2 linked regions of the Mus musculus genome follow. Each later gene encodes a partner of the first gene's protein in a complex. Links are inferred from orthologs where the notes say so. Each region holds a gene or a part of one and is shown in the gene's direction. Other genes may lie near its edges.

Evidence for each region. Proteins that work in one complex are often made in the same cells at the same time.
Region 2: Cep290 (region 1) and Tmem216 share a complex: the UniProt entries of both Homo sapiens proteins name them as parts of the tectonic-like complex. The link is inferred for Mus musculus from reciprocal best matches to the Homo sapiens genes CEP290 and TMEM216.

The regions. Positions count from the first base shown.
Region 1 is NC_000076.6:100,486,247-100,490,390, forward strand, and holds the start of Cep290 (centrosomal protein of 290 kDa), read left to right. Parts: upstream 1-1,335; 5' UTR 1,336-1,506; intron 1,507-2,032; 5' UTR 2,033-2,060; coding exon 2,061-2,162; intron 2,163-2,315; coding exon 2,316-2,393; intron 2,394-3,073; coding exon 3,074-3,143; intron 3,144-3,900; coding exon 3,901-3,947; intron 3,948-4,144. UniProt on the Homo sapiens protein: Involved in early and late steps in cilia formation. Its association with CCP110 is required for inhibition of primary cilia formation by CCP110.
Region 2 is NC_000085.6:10,549,949-10,552,772, reverse strand, and holds the end of Tmem216 (transmembrane protein 216), read left to right. Parts: intron 1-798; coding exon 799-1,000; intron 1,001-1,732; coding exon 1,733-1,748; 3' UTR 1,749-2,312; downstream 2,313-2,824. UniProt on the Homo sapiens protein: Part of the tectonic-like complex which is required for tissue-specific ciliogenesis and may regulate ciliary membrane composition.

The DNA.
Region 1 (4,144 bases):
AATCTCTTAGATGGACAATGCGGATAATACTGCTGTATCTCCACAAAGAATAATTCCAAAACTAAACAGTATTTAGAAATAAAGCAAACACTGCAATCAGGCCTACAAATCTGAAGAACGTCTTTAAAATTTGTTTCAAATACCATTTTTTTGTGCTATTTGTTTTTCTCAACCGCAGAAATCTTTTCAAAAGAAAAATGTAACTGTCTACATTTTTCTTTTAATTACTTAATATCTATTATGTATGATATGTATAAGTACCTTATATATCTATCCACGTATACATACATACATACATTCATACATATATACGAGACGCACTCTTTCAAATAGATGCTTACAGCTCCTAAAGTTACCTGCTGGTGTAGAATAGCTGTGCATTTGGCAACAGTTCCCTGAGTAAGAAGATTAACATCTGAGAAGGAGAAGGCACTTTCCCCCAAGAACTCCCTTGGTACCCAGCAAATGACAGCAAAATGCCATCGCTTGGCATGGCCCTCCTCCCTCCCTCCAGCCCGGCTTAAGAGCCTTGGGCGCACTAAGGCTCCTCTTTCCTTGGCCTTCACTCCACTCTTATTAACCTAATAAGCACTACAATCCGCAAGCTGCTGCAGGAGGCTGCCCCATCTTGACGCTCCTTCTTCACTCAACCAGAGCGTGAACTCAGGGGGTGCGGTGGGGGTGGGGGCGCTCCACTTTCCCAGACACCAAGGAGGCTGGAAACTTTTATTGACTCCCCTCTTAGGGAAGCCACTAACTGGGAGCCCCTCGCACCTACCTGAGTAGCCGGAGGACTCTTTCCCAAACCTCTGCAAGATCCGCCAGCCCTTCGGCAGCCCCAAGCTAGCGCTTCCCTAAAAACGCAAAGGTTCCCTGAGCTACTCCTGGCTGTGGGTTGACACGCCCCGACCTCACCTGAGGGCGGCTCCGCCAGGAGACGGTTCAGGAAAGCTTCTGGGATGGTGGACCGGAGAAGGACTCCGCAGAAAACACAGTCATAGCCTGCCACGCTCGGACTCCGGGGCGGCCGCACCTTAGCAGCCGCTCCTCCCGCCTCCCGAGCCTTCCCCCAGCTCTTCCAGGGCGGCCGCAGACTCCCGCATTGCACGCCGGGAACGCGCCGCTCTTCCCAAAAACTTCCAATCCCAGGATGCACAGCCGCGACGCCGAACTGCACTCTGGGACGTAGAGTCCTCATCTCACGGCTCTCCCTCATCCACAGTAAGGAGGGCTTGGAGGGGAAATAGAGCCGTAAAGCTTTTTCCAGGGTCGTGAAATGTAGTCTTCCCAGGTATCCCGGGGCCTAGTTCCGGTCTTGGCAGGCTGGGGGGCGGGGAGTGGTGTCGCCTAGCAGCCGGCGCCGCTTCGGCTCGGTCGGGAAGAGTTGGCGGGAGCAGCCTGAGTGCGCGAGGACCGCTCTGGGAAGCGTGAGGCCGGGGCGGTGGCCGAACCCGGAGGTGGTCGCTGTAGATGAGTGACTGCTGCTGGTGGCAGGTCTTGGTTTCGGTGGGTGGATCCTCGTGAGCCGGAGCCGCTTAGTGTCGTTCACAGGATCGTAATCCCGAGGGACAGGGTGCAGCCCTACCTATCCAGACCTCTGTCGCTCTTGTCTGCAGTGTCGTCTCGGCCTCCCTGATTGAGCTTGATTCCGCAAACACTTCATTTAGCTCAGTCTTTTTATCTACTTTAAAAATCCTCTGGTCCCCTTTCCTCAGAAGGTTTTCAAAAACTTCCAAACATCTTGGGAGTTGGTACCATCATTGATGGTAGGGGACTTGGAAAAGGGGCCTCGGGGTTTTAGCTCCGAATTCGTCTTAGCAAGAAAATAATAATTTAGCGTGTACATTATCGTATAGCCTGTGTCAGGGGAACTAATTTTCGTCGAGGCTGTTTGCCTCTGCATCTGTTTTGCAGTTCAGGAGCCATAGCTCTTAGCCAGCACCTAGAGAGTTAAGTAAGACCGCTCATGATCATGTAAACACTGCAAGGCCATTTTCCTTGAAAATGCTAAAATCCACCTGCTTCTTTGTAGAGGCTGAGAGACAGTGAAAGAATTCAAGATGCCACCTAATATAAAGTGGAAAGAATTAATCAAAGTTGATCCAGATGACCTGCCACGGCAAGAAGAGTTAGCAGATAAATTATTGATATCTTTATCCAAGGTACTTAATAAATGATTTGTACACAGAGCCTGATGTACAATGTCATGAATTGAAATTGCTTCTTGAAATCATTGAATGCTATAACTGGAAGAGTGCTTGTATTTAATGTGCAGGGTATGAAATAGTCCATTTTTTGTGTGTTTGTTTCCTTAGGTGGAAGTAAATGAACTAAAAAATGAAGACCAAGAAAACATGATACATCTATTCAGAATTACCCAGTCTCTAATGAAGGTTTGTAGGAAAGAGTGTGTAGGAAAAGAAATATTTTTTAGGAGAAACATAAAGAGTCATAAAGAATCATATGGTCAAATAAAATACAAAATCTCTCCCCTATAAGCTATACATGAAATGATAAGAGGATTCTAGATTCTTCATAAATAAATACTGAGAAAGAATATGTATTCTTTACATTAAGGTAAAAGCATATAGAAAAATATTTGGGGCCAGTAATTTGGGATATACTGTTCAAGAGTTTGAGAGTATATTTTGGTTATCAGCATTTTAGAAGGGAATAAAGGTTTTTAAATCATACTTGGTAAAGAAATGTACTTATGAAGGCAACATTAAATGTGTTGTATAGACTGAAGGGATGAGAGCTGATTAGTTCCAATTATAAGAAGGAATTACTAAATTTATTAATAATAACAATTGGGATAGTAAAAAAGATATTGAAAACATTTTAAGTAATGGCTATAAAGTTTAACGGAAAAATCAGATATAATTCAAAGTCTTGCCATTCTGGAATTTCTAGCCTTATGTATTTATTCAACAACTATTTACTGACTGTCTCTGTGTGTTAGTCATCGTACACACTACAGACTGAGATAGCAAATTCCACACAGTTTCCATTCCCACTGTTTACATTACAGTGTAAATAATACAGATTCTTCCCCTCTCGTTTTAATGTTCAGATGAAAGCCCAGGAAGTAGAGCTCGCTTTGGAAGAAGTTGAAAAGGCTGGAGAAGAACAAGCAAAATTTGGTAAATGTCTTGGGAAAAAACTACTGTGGTTCCATTACTTATTAGACAGTATAAAATCTATCCTATTCTATAACATATGTATTCAATTTATACTGAAAGATGCTACATCCTTGTGCAGTTCCAGGTACTGGCCTGAGTGCTGTGGTAGGGGGTGAAGAAAAGAAAACACACAGACACTTAGAACAGTTGTTTTCGGTTGGACCAGGCTCTCTAATGGAGCAACTGCCCCACCCCAGAAGCTCACTGTCTGTATTATATCCACTTGACCAGAGCAGTGGAGTTGTTGCATAGCTGAACATAAAGTCGAGTGAGTGCATACAGATAAACATGAAGGCAGGGTTTCTGCTGTTGAATAGGGAGGCAGATTTATCAAATCTCAGTAGGAGTAGTCTCTATAAGGGAGCCATAAACATTAGGGGGACATTTTCTGCACACCCTGTCAACATCCACAGTCAGACGAGGAGGGAAGGCTTTGCCGTTTGCCATAGGCCTGAGACATTTGGAGTTCCTGACGTGGCTTTGCCCATGTCAGTAGTACACACTGACTCAGGGCTCATGCACTGAAGCCTTCCTCTGCTCTCTACATGAGGCATTTCTAGAATGCATATTTTATGCATTTAGTATATAATAATTACTTTCCTGTATCTGTTAAGGATGGAATCTTTTACAGAGAACAGTACTATTTTATTAAAGTTTACTTAAAATCTGATTATAGGAAACTTAACCAATTAAAACATTTGTGTTTTTTTTTAAATAGAAAATCAATTAAAGACAAAAGTAATGAAACTGGAAAATGAACTGGAGGTATATATATATCCTTTTATATTTCCTTGTTTTTGAATTTTCTTGTAGTTGTTATTAATTGCATTATTTTAAATTGTTTTCAAATCCTCCCAGATTGGAAAATACAAGATTTTGTGCTCATGCGTTTATTCATTACACAGAATGTGCTTTTGTGACTTGAGTTCTAAGAATTATGCATCCAGTGAAGTAAAAACGGA
Region 2 (2,824 bases), on another chromosome or scaffold:
GAACTCTCAATGTAGACCAGGCTGGCCTCAAAATCAAGAGACCTACCTGTCTCTGGCTCTCCAATTTTTTTCTTGATACAGAATCCCACTGCTCCCTGGGTAGAGTCAGAATGGAAGCAGAGCCTCTGGAGTGAATGACTTTAATCATGTAATGCCCTGGAGCTTCAAAGTTTTAGGTCAGTGGGAATTAAGTTAGTTAGTTTATTTATTAAAGATTTATTTATTTTATGTATGTGAGTACACTGTCCATCTCTTCAGACACACCAGAAGAGGGCATCGGATCCCTCCCATTACAGATGGTTGTGAGCTACCATGTGGCTGCTGAGAATTGAATTCAGGACCTCTGGAAGGGCAGTCAGTGATCTTAACTGCTGAGCCATCTCTCCAGCCCCTAGGACTTAAGTTTTAAAAATGATATTCCCTTCTAGAGAAATAGCTCAGTGGTTAAGGGCACTGGCTACTTTCCCAGAGAACCAGGGTTCAAGGCCCGGCATCACATGGTGGCTCACAACCCTCTGTAACTCCAGTTCCAGAGAATCTGATGTGTTCTGACCTCCACAGGCATCAGGCTAGGCACATATACACAGTGCACACTCATATACAGAAAATAAGCAATAAATTAATAAAATATTTAAATATGACATCCCTACTCAGGGTAATTTTTCTCTGTTCTGTCTGTCTGTCACACCAGATACTTCCTGAGGTGGAGAAAAAAACAAAGCAGACTGCTGAAGCCAGGAAAAGCAGTTACCATCTTGAGGCTGACTGTGGGGACTGTTTTTTTTTTTTTTTATATAGGTACAAAGGGAAACCTCTGCCAGCGAAAGATGCCCCTTGGCATTAGTGTGGCCTTGACCTTCCCATCCGCTATGATGGCTTCCTATTACCTGCTGCTGCAGACCTACGTGCTCCGCCTAGAAGCTATCATGAACAGTATCTTGCTCTTCTTTTGTGGCTCAGAGCTGCTGCTTGAGATGCTCACGCTGGCCACCTTCTCCAGGTATTACTGCTGAGGGCTGGACTCCCCACCCAGAGAGGGATGCATTGCTCTTTGAAGCCTAGAAGATGTAGAAAACTGAATGTGAGGGTGTGTCCATGGGAATGCTTTTCTGACCTCCAGTAGGTAGAAAAGTTCTCTGTATATGTGTTCTGCATCTGTACATTCATCTTTGTGTATACACAAATGTTCAGGTGTGTGTGTGTGCAGACCAGAAGCTGATGATGTTAAGTGTCTTCATAACTTTACACATTATTAGATTGGAGAGTCTTTCCCTTGAACCCAAAGCTCTTCAATTTGCTTAGAGCAGCTAGCCAGCTTACCCCAGGAAACCCATTTCTCCTATGGGTGCTGGTCCTCATGCTTGAGTGGCAAGTACTTTATCCACTGAACCATCTTCCCAGGCCCCAAAGCATCTTTCCTAAGGAACATAGATAGTCTTCTGGTTCTTTGGAATCAAGAGACATCTAAAATGCAGAGTCCAAGCTAATAGTTGTTAGTCACTAGTCTTTTTTTTTTTTTTAATGTCCAGTGCTGTTTGACCCGCCTGTATGTCTGTGTGAGGGAGTCAGATCCACTGGAACGAGAGTTACAGACAGTTGTGAGCTGTCTGTCACGTGATGCTGGGAATTAAAGCTAGGCCCTCTGGAAGAGTAGCCAATGCCCTTAACTGTCCTGCCATCTCTCCAGCCCTATTCATTGGTCTTTAAACAGTGTCTTTCTTTTTGCCTTTAGCATGGACAGGATCTGAAGTACAAGAATTCCAGCTGGTGACAACACATATCCATCTGGTACTTCAGCCACACTGGTGAAAAGTGGTAGGTCGAGCTAACCTGGGAAAGGTTTGTGTGGTTTTTCCTCAGTGCGGACATTTGGGCGCTGAGCACCTACCTGAGGCCAGTGGCACCATCTTTAAAGCGGGATCATCAGCAGGAGACTCTTTCCTTTTGTTGTAGGGAGGGGCAAGGCTGTCCCCATCTTGGTGTTTCTAACAGCTTCCTAATGATCTCAAGTTCTCTTCTGTGGTCATCATGGCCAGAGCACCTTGTGTGGACCTTCTAGTTTTGTTTGGCTTCCAGCAGAACCTGAGCCACAGCACTCTGTGCACGTACATCTGTCCTACATGACCATGGAGAGCCTCATAATGGTGGGCTCTTGGGCTGATTCCAATGTGTGTTCTCCACGCTGCTCCACCTGCCCCCATCCTGCTCAAAGAGATGGTGATCTAGAACCCATTTAGTAGTTTATAGTAGTATTTTTCTATTCTGATCATGAAGCAAACACAAAATTTTTAATAAAAGTATTTTCTGATACAGGGCTGGTTGATTTTCTCCTATGACACCTCTTTAGATTTCCTTTCTTCTAAGTGAGGGCACAGACTATCCCAACAGTGTTTTCTGAGGCTGTGTTTAGTGGTAAGCTGGGACACAAAGACACTCACGGAGTGTCCCACCAATCCTTTCCTCTCATGCCCAAGTTACAGCCTGAATCCCAGAGCACTGCCTGTTTGTCATCTTCAGTTCTTTGGCAAGACTGTAAATGCTCTTCTCTGCAAGTCTCCTTGTATCTAAATTCTTTCCAGCATAGGCTATGCATAATTAGACATTGAAAAGTGTATTCTAAACCTGACCAAGATCTTTAGAGTTAACTTAAAAGAAACATGTATCGGTCAAGATCTTACTAAGCATTGCCATGTATTTTATCCCAGGAAGCTACTATGAGTAATGAAAGAATCTACTTCAGGAAGCCTTGAGGTCAGTCTCTGTGTCAGGAGGATCCTGGAATATGTTTTCCTAGACTGCCTTTTTTTAAAAAGAAAAAAAAGCT